Linked DNA regions of Callithrix jacchus. The protein of the gene in region 1 interacts with the protein of each later gene in a biochemical or structural test. Links are inferred from orthologs where the notes say so. Each region holds a gene or a part of one and is shown in the gene's direction. Other genes may lie near its edges.

Region 1 (4,698 bases):
TGAAAACAACTATTGATCCCTGGCACTAATGAACAATAGAAAATATTAACAGCACTTGCAGTGCTAGTGCATTACGGCGTTGGTTCACTTGGTTTATGTGGAGTCTAATGAAACATTTGGGAGAAATGGAACAAAATATCTCCCTGAGCTTAAGTAATATACTCAAAATGCCTGCATGTAGTAAGGATTTTTCAAATGCTGAAATATATTTCATTACAGCCAAGCATCAGCAGGGTCCCCAGGGTTTGGATCATTTGAAAATATTGTGTTGGAAAGGGCACCTTAATAACATTGTAAAGCTGGAAGGAGAGAGGGGATATGAACAATAGACACTTTTTTAATCTCGGGGAGAAAAAATCCATCACACGTTAGACTTGTTTTTATATTGGTTTTCCCTCTTCCCTCTTTCTCTCTCACACAATAAAATGTCTTTGAAATATTGACACATAAATAATTTCCCACCTAAACATCCCAGAGCCTGATTCCATCAAAAAGAAAGGAGTAAAAAGCAAGTTACAGCCCAGCAGCACATCTGCCTTCCCTGGTCCTGGGGCTTCCCGCAGGGGCGGCGGGGGCTGTCCACCTCACAAGGCGCTGTCAGCTTTTGTCACTCCCTGATTTCTTATTCTTTGTTACCTTTTTTTGCCTGACTGATTATTACTTGGCATTTAAGTTCCCCTTAGCCTTGCCAGATTCTAAAAGATTATATTCTTTTTAAAAAAGAAGGGAAAGAAGGAAAGAAGACAAAGAGAGAAAAAAAAAATCTCCGAGTGATAACTACTTTTTCCCTTCTTCTTTTTATACAAAGAACACGTTCTTTCACATCCTTGAATTTCTGTGAATTTTGGTTTCCATTCTTTCTCCTTTCAAACCAGACACCTAAATTATACATCGAAGACTGTTAAAAGGATTTTTTTTTCCATAGAAAATATCAAAGAAGCAGCCCAGGAGTATCTGACTTGGTGGAATGGAATCAGTTAGAAAGCCAAAGAAATCACTAAAAAAGTGACTTCTTTTTTTCCCACCAGTTATAATCTTCAGCCTTACTAGTTTATAACAGTTTAATGTTCTATAGAAGAATCCTCTACTAAAGTGTTAATTTTAAATATAGTCATACAGAGAGATCCTCAATCCCCCAGGTAATCTAGATATTAAAGGTGGGGGAGAACAGTCATGTTGACATTCTTTAATCCAAATGCACTTTTTGAAATTAGCAAGGATATTTTCAGCATTCCCAAAAACGTGTTATTAGCACATTGAGCTGAAAACGTTTTTCTTACTCAGTGAGTACAGAAACCAAAGCAGTCTGTGTGTATATCTATGTATAGACTATCATACCTGGGCTTATGGAGGAGTCTAAATTTAAAACGTCCTCTATTCTACCTCCAATGAACATGTTTCCATGTGTGGTGTCTGATCTTCCACGATGTGTGTGGTCGTCTTCTGGTGTAGCACTGTTTGAGGAGCGCTGTGCGCCGCTAGTGTGGGTTTGCACTTATGAGTGTTGTCGTTACATGTGTTCTGCTCTTCTCTCCCTCTCCTTCCCCTGCCCTGCTCCATCAGAAAGAGCTGCAGGTCTCTGCTGCCGCCTAGTAGTTCCCTGTCACAAAGGGATGCCAAGGCTTACCGATCTGTCTGTCAAAACCAAAGATGTCTGGGAAATCCCTCGAGAATCCCTGCAGTTGATCAAGAGACTGGGAAATGGGCAGTTTGGGGAAGTATGGATGGGTATGCTAAGACTCAATTACTCTATTATTGACTTCCTCGTTTGGGAAATCCCAAACACCAAAGATAGAAGGTGAAAATAAAGACTGCATGACCTAGAAGAAAGACTGAATTAGTAATAGTAGGGAAGAATGATATCAATTTTGGTTTTAATATTCTGGAATTTCTGGAAAAAAAGATAGTAAATGGGCAAAATTGGCAAATGGCTCAAGTTGTACTGTTACATGAGCCTCAATTCATAAACCAGCAAATGGTACAGGGAATGTTCCAGCTCCCATAAAAGATCTTGCCCTTCATTTCCAAAAGCAAATATTTGTTGAGTGTCGCCCTAACGGGCAAGTCACCTTCCATCTTTCCTAGTGCATGCATAATTATGGATTATAAGGACAGTGTTTTCTTTATTAATTCCCTTTCCTGTAGAGAAAGCTGATGGTTTGTGTTTTAACTTAACTGTGATTGCATCGAGTTGTACCCCACAAACTTCTGGATTGGCTAAAGATGCTTGGGAAGTTGCACGTCGTTCGTTGTTTCTGGAGAAGAAGCTGGGTCAGGGGTGTTTCGCTGAAGTGTGGCTTGGTAAGGCAGAGGGCACATTTTGTTTTGGCTGCGTCTCAAAGCCGATTAAAAGGATGGTTTTGAACAAAAATGCACACACAGCCGTTGGGACAAAGACACTTAACCTGGATAACTAGACAGGCACAGGCCATCCAGATTTTCAGAATATGCTGATGCCTTGCTGTGCTCATCTGTCCTACTTCATGTGGTTAATTAAGGCACCCGCAGAACAGGAAACCAGAACACTGTGAATCTGGTGTTTCCTCTTCCTAAGAAATGGGAAGGTAAGATACTGTATATGGGCAGCCATAAGAAAGACCGTGGGCATTTTGCTCGATGGGCCTGGGTTTGAATCCTTACTAGCTAAGCAACCATGAACAATGGGCATATTTTACTCCTTTAAGCGTCAGTTTTTTTCATCTGTAAAATTAGAATGATACTTTTTGTTTTTTTGAGACAGAGTCTCGCTCTGTCACCAGGCTGGAGTGCAGTGGTGCGATTTTGGCTCACTGCAACTTCTGCCTCCCAGGTTCAAGCAATTCTCTTGCCTCAGCCTCCCAAGTAACTGGGACTATAGGCATGCACCACCACATCCAGCTAATTTTTGTATTTTTAGTAGAGACAGGGTTTCATCATGTTGGCCAGGATAATCTCAATCTCCTGACCTCATGATCCGCTCACCTTGGCCTCCCAAAGTGCTGAGATTACAAGTGTGAGCCGCCACACCTGGCCAGAATGATACTTATTTTATAGGATTATTTTTAGGATTACATGGGTTAATATGTTTAAAGTCCCTTGCAGATAGTAGATATTCAGTAGACATACATACTTCTCTTCATTTGATTGTCATTGATAAGGCTGGCCACACTATGCCTTTGTAATTTCTTTTATAGCCCTTTTGGGTCAGTTTCAGCTTTGCCACATGAGACAATTCATGGACTTAGGCCCCACTCAAAAACATGTTTCAGTAAAACAATATTAATACTTATGGAATCCTCCATCTTCCTTCCTCAGAGCTGATTAAAAGCAATATAGATCAGTGTCCTTTGCTTTGTGTGGGTATAGATCTTTAGGTGAGGTCTGCATTAAAACAGTTCAAAGTGATAAGTACTACAAAGATATATGTAGGTAGGTAGATGGATAAATAGGTAATAGACAGACACATACATATTTATGAGTTAGCTAGTTTAATAAGAAATCCACATTATTGTGTCCATCTCTCTCTGGTCTTTATCTCAAGTATTGTAAAATATATGACCTCCTCCTTCCTCATTCACCCTCTAATAATAGAGGATTTTAGTCGAATTACTCACACAATCACAGAGGATTTGACCCTATAAGAAAATTTATTTTCAAATTTTACAAATAATCCACTTTAAATCATTACATATACTGTTCACATTTTGTTTCCCAAGTAACACAAGACAACATGCCCGTCAGAATTGAGCTGGATATCTATGTAATTTACCAGGTCTGTATTACAGAGGAAGATCTCACTGTATTTGAAATTTTATGCTCTTTTTTTTTTTTTTTTTCTTTTGAGACAGAGTCTCGCTCTGTACCACTGCTCTGGAGTGCAGTGGTACAATAATCTTGGCTCACTGCAACCTCTGCCTCCTGGGTTCTAGCAGTTTTCTACCTCAGCCTCCTGAATAGCTGGGATTACAGGCACTCGCCACCACACCCAGCTAATTTTTGTATTTTTAGTAGAGACGAGGTTTCACCATCTTGGCCAGGCTGGTCTTGAACTCCTGACCTCGTGATCCACTCGCCTCAGCCTCCCAGGTGCTGACTCTTAAAGAGCAAAGATCACTTATAAATTGTCAAATTTCCCATGTATGCTTAGTGGGCAGATATTTTATGAAGTTTAAATGAACTTTTCTTTAAGCCACTTGGTTTTCCATAATTTATATTTTTGTAGGTTACATGTTGTAATTATATGAACCATGTCTTTAACAGGATAATAAGAACTCCTCCAATTTACAGAATTCTTTTTTTTTTTTTTTTTTTAGACAGAGTTTCACTCTTGTTACCCAGGCTGGAGTGCAGTGGCGCAATCTCAGCTCACTGCAACCTCCGCCTCCTGGGTTCAGGCAATTCTCCTGCTTCAGCCTCCCGAGTAGCTGGGGTTACAGGCATGCGCCACCACACCCAGCTAATTTTTTTGTATTTTTAGTAGAGACGGGGTTTCACCATGTTGACCAGGATGGTCTCAATCTCTTGACCTCGTGATCCCCCCACTTCAGCCTCCCAAAAGTCAGTTACATTAAGTATAAAAATCTTAATTTAAACCAGTCTTCTTTTTCAAATAGAAAATAATCTAAATTAGCAGATTTTTCCCCTTTATAAAGTTATTCTTCAGCTTCATAGGTCTAATAATGGGATATACATAGAACCTAGGTTTGGTTTTTATTTTTG
Region 2 (4,798 bases), on another chromosome or scaffold:
GGACCATCCACCTAGATCCCCCGAGGCCTTCTGCACTCATCTGGTATCTTACCTCCCCAGAGCTCCACATCCTACCCTGAGGTTCCCTATCTGGCCGGAGACCCTCTTTCATAAAGACCACCTTCTCCAGCTGACCGGTGGTTTTTACACACATATCACAGGTAGAATCTGTAATCTAAGCAAGTTATAGGCCGTAGCAGATTCACTTTCCCTTGCTCCTAGTCACCTGCAGACACCATGCATGTGCTACCTACTGTGCTTCAAGGTATGGTATTCCACTAGCTCTAGACAGTTATTCCCCACCTGCCCACCACCAATAAAACTGCTCACCAAACTTGCAGCAAGTGAGAAATAATAACTAAATGCTCTGATGCTGACTACAAGTAAATGTGAACCCCACGGCCTGCTAAGAAAGCCTCAGGAGCTATGGAAACAGGGAGGGCATTTGGCAGCCTATGAATTATGGAAAAGATTTCAGGACATCTCTAGTAATCATTAACATTTTAGCTACAATGTGATGTCAAAGTGCTGGCTCAGACTGTGGAGCTGCAGCCTCCAAGAATCTTACAACAGTCGCAGCCTGGGATCATGCTCTGCCTCTGATTTTCTGCTAGATTTACTGGTTCTGGCAGGAGCAGAGTATCTTTATCTCCCTAACCATTTTCATGTAAAATAAGATTGGAGCCCTTTCAGGGCCCCGCCTTAGAATTGCTCTGAAAGTAAAAGTACCAAGTGCCTGATTTCTTAGAGGTCTTACCAGTAGATGTTGGCTGTTGATTTAGCTGCTGAGTCATGGGGCTGGGGATATTGGTTTTAAGTAGCCAAAAACGTCAGTGAATTGCTGGTGAAATCACAAACTCTGCTTGCAAAATTCGTGTAATCCTTTAATAAAACATTTTACAATTATTTTTCTGAATTTAATCTTAAAGTTCTTGCTTCTTACCCATTGGAAAACGAATACTATGGACGCATTATGCCTTCATTTTTAACCAACCCCTTGGAAACCTCTCAGTAGCTACCAGGATAAAAATGCTGGGGGTTAAGGAAGAAAAACAGTTTTTGCAGCTGACCAGAAGAAATAATAAATTCAAGTATATATTTGAACATCTCTTTGCAAGGAAATGAGGAAAATCAGATGTTTAGTTCTCTTACAGACCAGCAGTGATACTGAAAAATACAAAAGTAATCCATAACCGAAAACGGAGTCACCATTTCAACCCTCCCTTAAGAATGGAGGGGGAGGTACTGTGGAGCTGAGTTGTAATGGCTATGTGTTCTTGATCAGAAAGGTGCAATCATCCACCAACTCTTTCCATATTCCATGGAATATGACCCGTCTTGAACTTTGAGAAACTCTCTGGGTCTATGTGAAACTCCAGTCCCAAAAAATGTACATGAATGGTTCACAAGAATCCAGGTAGGTTTGATCTAGTTCCCTAGATGGTAATGAGGGCGATGTGAAATTTCAGATGCAACATGAACATGGGCTGGAGAATGGATTAACGCTGGGTTAGCACGTGGGGGTGCGACGGGCACCTAGGAGGCACTCAAAAAGTATGAGGCAGAATTAAAGGGAAGTGAAGCTTCTTTTGGCTGTCTCGGCCGGATTCTCGCCGCAGCAAGGAGAAAAGGACTGGGTCACCTTGGCGGGTGGCAGGCGGAGCCCGGCCAGACGGGCGCGGCTGGGGGGCAGTGCGCAGGCGCAGACGGCGCACGTGGCCCCCAACACGCAGCGCTGCGGCATGGCCCGCGCCCCAACACGAATGGGGCCGTGGCGCTCAGCTACTCAACGTCTCGACGCCAGCGGGGTCTCCCGGATTGCGGCGCAGGGTAGGAGGGCCGGGACCGGCGCGGGCCGCCAAAGTCGTTAGGCAAGGTCGAGGGCCAGACCTGAGGCCCGGGAGCGACGCTGAGTGCGTGCGGGACTCAGAGTACGTGACAGAGCCCTGAGCCCTCATGCCCGCCGCGCCGTCCCTGGCCGTCCCCCAGGGCCCCGGCTCCGCACACCCCAATTCGGCTCAAGGGCCCCATCTGGGGCCAGAGTTTCGCCCGCACCACGGCAGGGCCTCTAGGGAGTCTGGATCCCCCAGATCCGCCGGCCTCACGTCCCCGGGTCGTCGCCCCCCTTTCCCTGCCGCTGCCACCATCGCAGCGGCACGCCCATTTCCGGGAGGTGAGGGCCTGAGTGACGGCTCTCACGACCAATGGCGAGACGGCGCTGAGGGGGCGTACCCGGGAGGCGGGAAGTAGGTGGGGTCTTTTTTAGCTGGGCAGGAAGTCGGCGCGGCTGGCACGAACAGAAGCTGTGAGGACCCGCAGCACGCAGACGTCCTCTGCTTAACGCTCATCTCGGTGTCTGCAGCACTCTCTGCTTCTCTCCTAGGCGACGAGACCCGGCGGTTAGGTAATGATTGGCGAAGGGCTGAACAACCGGCAGGCGACGCAGGGCTTTTCTGGGCTGCTAGCAGGGCTCTTTACCCTGACAGGGAGGTGGCGCGCCCGCAGGCCCAGGGTAGCGGAATCGGGGGCGCGTGCGAGCCATCTCCCCGGGTTGGAACTGGCGCCCCACTTCACCCGGAGGCCCGGGGCGGGGGAGCAATGCTAGGCGTACGTGCAGGGCCCCCAATTTCTTTGGAGGGGAAAGTGCAGATTAGCACGTGGTTACGGATTGCAGGGCTGGGTCACCGTCGGGGAAGGTCGGGAGCTGCACTCGCGTGTGCAACTGGGAGTGGAAGTTGCTTCTCCATTGTAGCCAAGTGTAAGGTTTTTGGGAGAAACGCAGACTGAGCGGCGGTGCCCACTCAGGCCAGGCCCTTCCTAAGATGGAGGAGGATGGCGAGAGGGGAGATGCCCACGAGGCTGCGCCCCCCTCCCCCACCTACAGCCCCTGCCTCGGGCCGCACTCGCGGCCCGCGCTTCTGTCCCGTAGGCTGGTGACTCATTTCCCTCCGAGAAGGCACCTCTTCATGAGGAACCTGCCGCAGAGCCGTTGGATCATTGGGAAGTCCTCCAGGCAACCTCGCCCAAGTTGGGCAAGAGCGGCTCCCCGGCTGGCTACCAACAGTCGGGCCATGATAGGACTTAAGAAGGATGTATTTTAAGAAAGCTTCCTGTTTGCTGTTTCCCTGCGATGTGCGTTTCTCTCTGGGCGGTGGGGTCCATTACTTTACTTGCCTTTCGGGCCCACCCGGGCCCTGACTGCTCAGTTCATTTACTGAATCCCTAATTTGGGATTCCATCCAGGCAACTGAAAAAGCTGTGAATGGGCTGGGCACGGTGGCTCACGCCTGTAATCCCAGCGCTTTGGGAGGCCGAGGTGGGCGGATCACGAGGTCAGGAGTTCTAGACCTGCCTGGCCAACGTGGTAAAACCCCGTCTCTGTTGAAAATAAAAAATTAACCAGGCGTGGTGGCAGCCGCCTGTAGTCCCAGCTATTCGGAAGGCTGGGGCAGGAGAATCAATTGAGCCCAGGAGGCACTGAGCCCAGATGGCACCACTGCACTCCAGCCTGGGCTAGAAGAGTGAAACTCTGTCTCAAAAAAAAAGCAGTGAATGCTGAAGTCAGACCAACCCTCCTCCCTGCCTGTGCTCCTGAGCTATGACAACTTTGCAGAATAGTTTGTCTATCCAACTTAAAGATCACTTACATTTTATTTTCACATCGCAAGACCTTTGTCTTAAGTCACTAAAATGAAACCAAAAACGCTGAGGTGCCCTCATAAAATTGCCTGTAAAAGTATGTCTGAGATACACAAAGTAAATCACAGTGGTGGTCTGGAAATGGGGCAGGGGAGTATTGACTAGAACCGACCTGAGAGAACTTTTGCAGTGATGGAAATGTTACTCGAGTATGTAATTTGCCAAAACGCAAAATTAACTTATTTCTAAAAATATGTTTAAATAAACGTGCCTTTTTGGAACCTAGTAGATAAAAACTAAATGCATTTTTCTTGGCTAATGAATTAAATTCCATTGTTACATAGACTACAAAGCCACATAAGTGACTTCAGTATCTAATTTTGAAAGTTAAAAATCTGCCATTTGCTGCCCCAGGACATTCCAGAGACGCTGTTGGAGGGGAGCCCAGTTAGATAATGGCTTTGAACACTAAGTTCCTCTCACCCACCTCGGTTCTGTAAGCTGTTCAGTTAGGTTTTTGGATCGCACCAAGGAAAAAAGTAAGAAAGGGTTTTTCTTTAAGGAATTGCTACTTGTTTTTCATTGCTGCAAATTCTTGGGTTTTTTTTTTTTTTTTTTTAAACTGTTTTCAAAGAAAGCCCCTTCCCTTGAAGTATCCTAGTGTTCAAAGAATCTTTCCTCTATTTCCAAATTATAAAGCCCCCTTGGGAAGAAATACTAATTAGATGTCATTATTGGCTGGTCCTGGTGGCTCACCCCTATAATCCTAGCATGCTTTGGGAGGCCAAGACAGGGGAGGATCACTTGAGACCAGCCTGGGCAACATAATCAAAATGAAATAAAGATGTCATCATTAATGAAGACCCCAAGTACTGAGAAATCTGAAAGTCCCAGAAGACGGTAGTAGCAAAGATCACCGTCCAAGGATTTCATTGTTCCTGACCTCCAAACTCAGAATTTGATTATCAGTATCTACCAAGTGAATATTCTGCTGCTGTCTCAAATTTAATCTGAAGAATTATGGCCAAATTTGTAATTCACTATTTTAATTCTGCTACAAACCAGATTTTCCCCAGGTCCCCCACACCCCTTTTTGGCCTCGTCCTAGTGGTTTTGCTTGTGACCTTCATGTCTGTTCTTGGTTCCTTTCCATTTCCGT
Region 3 (4,798 bases), on another chromosome or scaffold:
TCCTGTTTATCATGTAATTTGTGTCCAACTTACTGGCATAGAGGGCAAATCATAGAATGACAAAGATTAAGCAATTCTTATGTAGCACATAGGAAAAATATGTTGATTAACTTAGTGCTAAACAGTGTCAGGGTGTCAGGATTATTTCTACCCATAAGGCTGGCCTGGGGATCTGTTCACTATCTTGCTAGTATGAGTCACCTGCTCCTTCTTTGAGGCAAAGGCTCTCAAACTTGCACGTACATTGGAATCACCTGGGGAGCTTTGAAATACACCAGTGCCTGGGTTTCAGTCCCAGAGATTTTCATATAATAACCTGGGATGAGGCCTGGGAGCTGAGACTATGAAAACACCCCAGGTGATTTTAATGTGCAGCCAGGTTGCGAACCATTGCTTTAGAGTGGTCCTCTTTACCCTAAGCTGTATCTGCACTGTGATGATCTCTATTCCAACAGACAGTAGATTAGAGGCTTTCTAGTGAAGGTAAAGAATGCCTTCATTTCGAAGCATTCTAGAAAATGTGTTATACCAGAAAAGATGCCTGGCTCCTATACATCAGTCTTGCTTTGATCTTCCTCCTCTATTTATTCATTAAGCTTCTATTATGTGTAAGATACTGTGCAATTTCAGAATCCTGACCATCCACCCAGATTCTGACCATGCCTCAAACCCCTCTTTATAATATGTAAAGTTTTCAGGACAGTATCAGTTTCTACCTCTGGAATTCAACCTCTGCCCTGGCTTTTTGCCTGTCATATGAATCTGCATTTCTGATTACATCTTAATTTTGAAAATATTTTTATTTTAAAGAAAAAATAACAGATAACATCTTTTTTGAAAAGCTATTTTGTATGGATGTAGGAGTAATTAGTGTTTGATCACCATCAAGTATAGAAATTTGGTGACCTTACACTAAATAAGCACTGTAATACTTAAAACAAGATCTAGAAATTTGCAACCACCAAAAAAGGAATCCTGCCTTTCCTTTGCCACAGAAAACAAAGATGACCTACCACCCCTGAACTACTTTAGTAGGAGGCTATATATCAGAATGTGTTTAGAGAGGTACATGGATGATTGGAAAGTCTGACTAATTGAGATCAAATCCCTTGCCCTTAATGTCTGATGCTAACAAATGTTAACCCCCAAATTAGCACATGAACCTAGATTGAGCTGTACTTTTTTTTTTATGGAAATGAATGACATTCTATGAAAAGCTTATGAGTGTTTCCATCATTTAAATGGTAATATGAATTTAAATACAATTGGAGTTCTTCATTAAAATTATCGTGATACTTTTGTTCTTTTTAATAATGATTATGGTTATGTTTTTACACAAGTGCTATATACCCAAGATAGAAAACTTGAAAAACTCCAAAAAGTATGAAAAAGGAATTATTTGTAATAATATATCCACTCAATTCAAACGCTATTAATTTTGGTGTGAGTCCTTCATAGATAGAGAGATGGAGAGACAGACATGCATGCACATATATACACATGTTTATTCAAAAATACATAAGTTATAAAAAACAGATCAATAATGTCTAACAAAATTTAATATCTAGGCACTTCTAAAAATTTCATATCAATTTTTCAGACTTGAGAGCTACACCTATACCTGTTTCTGTATTATTGAAAAATAATAACATGATAAACCTGGCCAGCTATACAAATGCTCTAAGGGTTGGGATAACATGCAAATATAGCCTCACATATCAATGTGTGAAAGCTAGATAGACCACACAGCTCAGAAAAGGAAGTACACTCTGCATAGCTAACTTGCACATTCACTATCCAAGCCACAACATCTTCGAGGTCATTGTGTGTCAGACGCATCAACTCTTTTCAATCAAAATGGTAAGTAATAGATTGTATTACTCTCCCTGGTCTCCTGGCAAATGTGCTACTCCTCTCTGCATAGAACAGACAGGGTTGAGGGTGCTTCACAGCTAGGTCTTACACGCCTTTGGGATTTTGCTCGGCTACTCATTGTTCCTTGGGCTGAGGAAGTTGCTGAGTCTTTTTCATGCCAATTGAGAGACGTGGCTTCTGGAGTTCCTTTTTTGATTCTAGCCTTCAGAATAGAGGAAGAGCACTGTCTTACAGAAAGAAAATGTGCATTCTTCATCTTTGCCTATTATGATAGCTGGATGCCTGCCCCAGTAGTACAGCCAAGCTTCCTGTTATGAGCTCTTTGACTCCCAGGAAAGGACTCCAGTGGCAAAGGTTGGGAAACGCTGCTGACGGTGATTGCCATTTTGATAACATGATAGATTTTACAAAAGAACCTCTTCTGTTTGAAAATACATTTTTAAAATTTCAATTAGGAGAAGCAAACAAAGCCCAAATAGTCTAAAACTTAGGGACAGATTCTATACCCAAAGTTAATGGGAAGTCATTTTTTGGAGCATACTTAAAATGGTGAGTGGGTTCCCAGTACTACTTTAACCTATAACAAAACTGAACTACAGCAGTAATATATGCTTCACAACTTTCCATTATTTCCCTGCAAAAAAAAGGGGGTGGGTGGGTTCCCAAAATATATGTGGTCTAGAAGAGAATCAATTTTCTATCTTTGTCTCCTATTCCCTGATCCCCAGAAGACTGGAAATTTGTTATCCCTTCTCTTATTATGAAGAGGATATCTTCCTTTTGTCAGCCCCCAGTGAGAAGACAGGAATTGAGACGATGACTCATGCTCACACAATTGGAGGCTGGAGTTCATTGCAGACATTGGAACAGGGAGAACAAAAGGGTCATTCGATGATGTGTGTTGAAGTGACCGTGTATTGTCTGAAAGCACCTTGAGTTAGGATAGGGAAAGAGCAGAGGTGAGAGAGCATAATCTTGTTATGGGGGAGAGAGGAAGAGGGAAGAGTGAGGAGGTGCGAGTCACAGAGTCTTGAGAATGGAAGTGCACAGTGGTGGAGGAAATGTTAGGGACGTGACCCTGTCTGCGGCAACACCTGCAGAAGGCAGTCCCAGGCCCAGGTGGGAGCGGGACTTAGAAATCCCTCTACATTTCCAAACTGGGTCTTTAGGTACAGAATTCTTAGAAAACAGCTTGACCTTAAACAAGGGCACTGTGGTTTAGAAAGTGCTATTTGGATTTTCTTAGGTGACACAAGATAATAGCAATAAAAAAGGAAGTTTAACTGGAGAGCATGTATTTGGTATAATATATGAGTGATGATTTTTTTAAAGATTATGGTTTTCTTATAAAAGTAACACAGCCAGTTGTGGTGGCTCACACGTGTACTCCCAGCACTGTGGGAGGCCAAGGAGGGTGGATCACATGAGGTCAGGAGTTTGAAATCTGCCTGACCAACATGGTGAAACCCCGCCTCTACTAAAAGTACAAAATTAGCTAGGGTTGGCGGCTCGTGCTTGTAATTTCAGCTACTTGGGGGCGTTGAGGCAGGAGAATCACTTGAACCCAAGAGACAGAGGTTGCAGTAAGCCGAGATTGTGCCACTGTATTCCTGCCTGGATGATGAGTGAAACTATGTCTAAATAAAAGGAAGGAAGGAAGGAAGGAAGGAAGGAAGGAAGGAAGGAAGGAAGGAAGGAAGGAAGGAAGGAAGGAAAAAGAAAGAAAGAAAGAAAAAAAAAAAAGAAAGATGTATTTCTCAAAAAAATTTCTTAGAAATAGAGGTAATGGGCAGGTGTGGTGGCTCATGCCTGTAACCCTAGTTCTTTGGGAGGTCAAAGTGGGAGGATTACTTAAGGAGTTAGAGACCAGCCTGGGCAACAAAGCAAGATGTCATTCCTATAAAAAATTAAATAAGTAAATAAATCAGCCAGGCCTGGTGGTGCATGCCTGTGGTCCCACCTGCTAGGAAAGCTGAGGCAGGAGGATTCTTTGAGTTCAGAAGTTCAAGGCATCAGTGATCAATAATCATGTCACACCACTCCAACCTGGGCAACACTGTTTTTTTAAAAAAAAAGAAATATAAATATGCAGAAATTAAACAATAAGCATATTCTACAATTCTATCAACTGAAGGAGAATCACTAGGTTAATGCAGATTCTTCCAGAATGTCATCATTTTAAATACACATTTTATAAATGTAATTTTATAAGTGTTATTATACTTTATGAACCATTTCCCCATGTTTTATTTAAAATATCTTTAATAATATCTGAGTTACAATGTCACTTTTAATGATAAATTATTTTTAATAACTGTGTAGTAGTCCAGAATTTGTTTTAATCAGTTCCATAGAGTTGGAAACTTCTGTTGTCTCTTTTTCTTCCTTATGGTTATAGACAAGACTGTCACAAGCATTTTTTATATATTTTGTCTGATTATTTTGCACTGACAGAACTACTAGCAAAGAAGCTAGGTGAAAACCTACACGTATTTAAAACTTCTAACACAAGTTACCCTGTTATTAAGCAGCTCACTGTTTCTCACTTTACAATGGCATAGTAAGTGAATTTTCCAGTGCAGTTACGGTATATACATGCCTATCTTTGTATGCCCATGCCTATCTTTGTAGCACGAAAAGGTTTTACTTCAAAATTAAGTTACTTCCCCTTAATTTTCTCACCCTGATATTGCTGCTGTCATTCTACAGCAAGTGGCAGAAAGTCATGTAGCATATTCAAGAAAGGAAAACACTGTATTTTCTCCTTGAAAGAGATCTGATACAGTCAGAGCTGTATTCCTGGCTGCTTGTTGATTGGTTTTGCTTACTAGTTGTTTTCCGTAAGTCACTTAAGCATTGGGTTCGTTTTCTCATCCAACGATGGTGACGATGTGATGATGATGATGATGACAGCTATCCCACA

What was found.
Region 2: of the proteins of FYN (region 1) and ENO1, one has a biochemical effect on the other in vitro, tested with the Homo sapiens proteins (2 studies listed by BioGRID). The link is inferred for Callithrix jacchus from reciprocal best matches to the Homo sapiens genes FYN and ENO1.
Region 3: the proteins of FYN (region 1) and FYB1 form a complex in vitro, tested with the Homo sapiens proteins (2 studies listed by BioGRID and IntAct). The link is inferred for Callithrix jacchus from reciprocal best matches to the Homo sapiens genes FYN and FYB1.

The regions. Positions count from the first base shown.
Region 1 is NC_133505.1:117,951,141-117,955,838, reverse strand, and holds part of FYN (tyrosine-protein kinase Fyn), read left to right. Parts: intron 1-1,563; coding exon 1,564-1,728; intron 1,729-2,145; coding exon of another isoform or gene 2,146-2,301; intron 2,302-4,698. UniProt on the Homo sapiens protein: Non-receptor tyrosine-protein kinase that plays a role in many biological processes including regulation of cell growth and survival, cell adhesion, integrin-mediated signaling, cytoskeletal remodeling, cell motility, immune response and axon guidance.
Region 2 is NC_133508.1:46,741,755-46,746,552, reverse strand, and holds the start of ENO1 (alpha-enolase), read left to right. Parts: upstream 1-1,702; 5' UTR 1,703-1,830; exon of another isoform or gene 1,831-1,931; intron 1,932-2,289; exon of another isoform or gene 2,290-2,404; intron 2,405-4,798. UniProt on the Homo sapiens protein: Glycolytic enzyme the catalyzes the conversion of 2-phosphoglycerate to phosphoenolpyruvate. In addition to glycolysis, involved in various processes such as growth control, hypoxia tolerance and allergic responses.
Region 3 is NC_133503.1:166,286,608-166,291,405, forward strand, and holds the start of FYB1 (FYN-binding protein 1), read left to right. Parts: upstream 1-1,764; 5' UTR 1,765-1,857; coding exon 1,858-1,860; intron 1,861-4,798. UniProt on the Homo sapiens protein: Acts as an adapter protein of the FYN and LCP2 signaling cascades in T-cells. May play a role in linking T-cell signaling to remodeling of the actin cytoskeleton. Modulates the expression of IL2. Involved in platelet activation.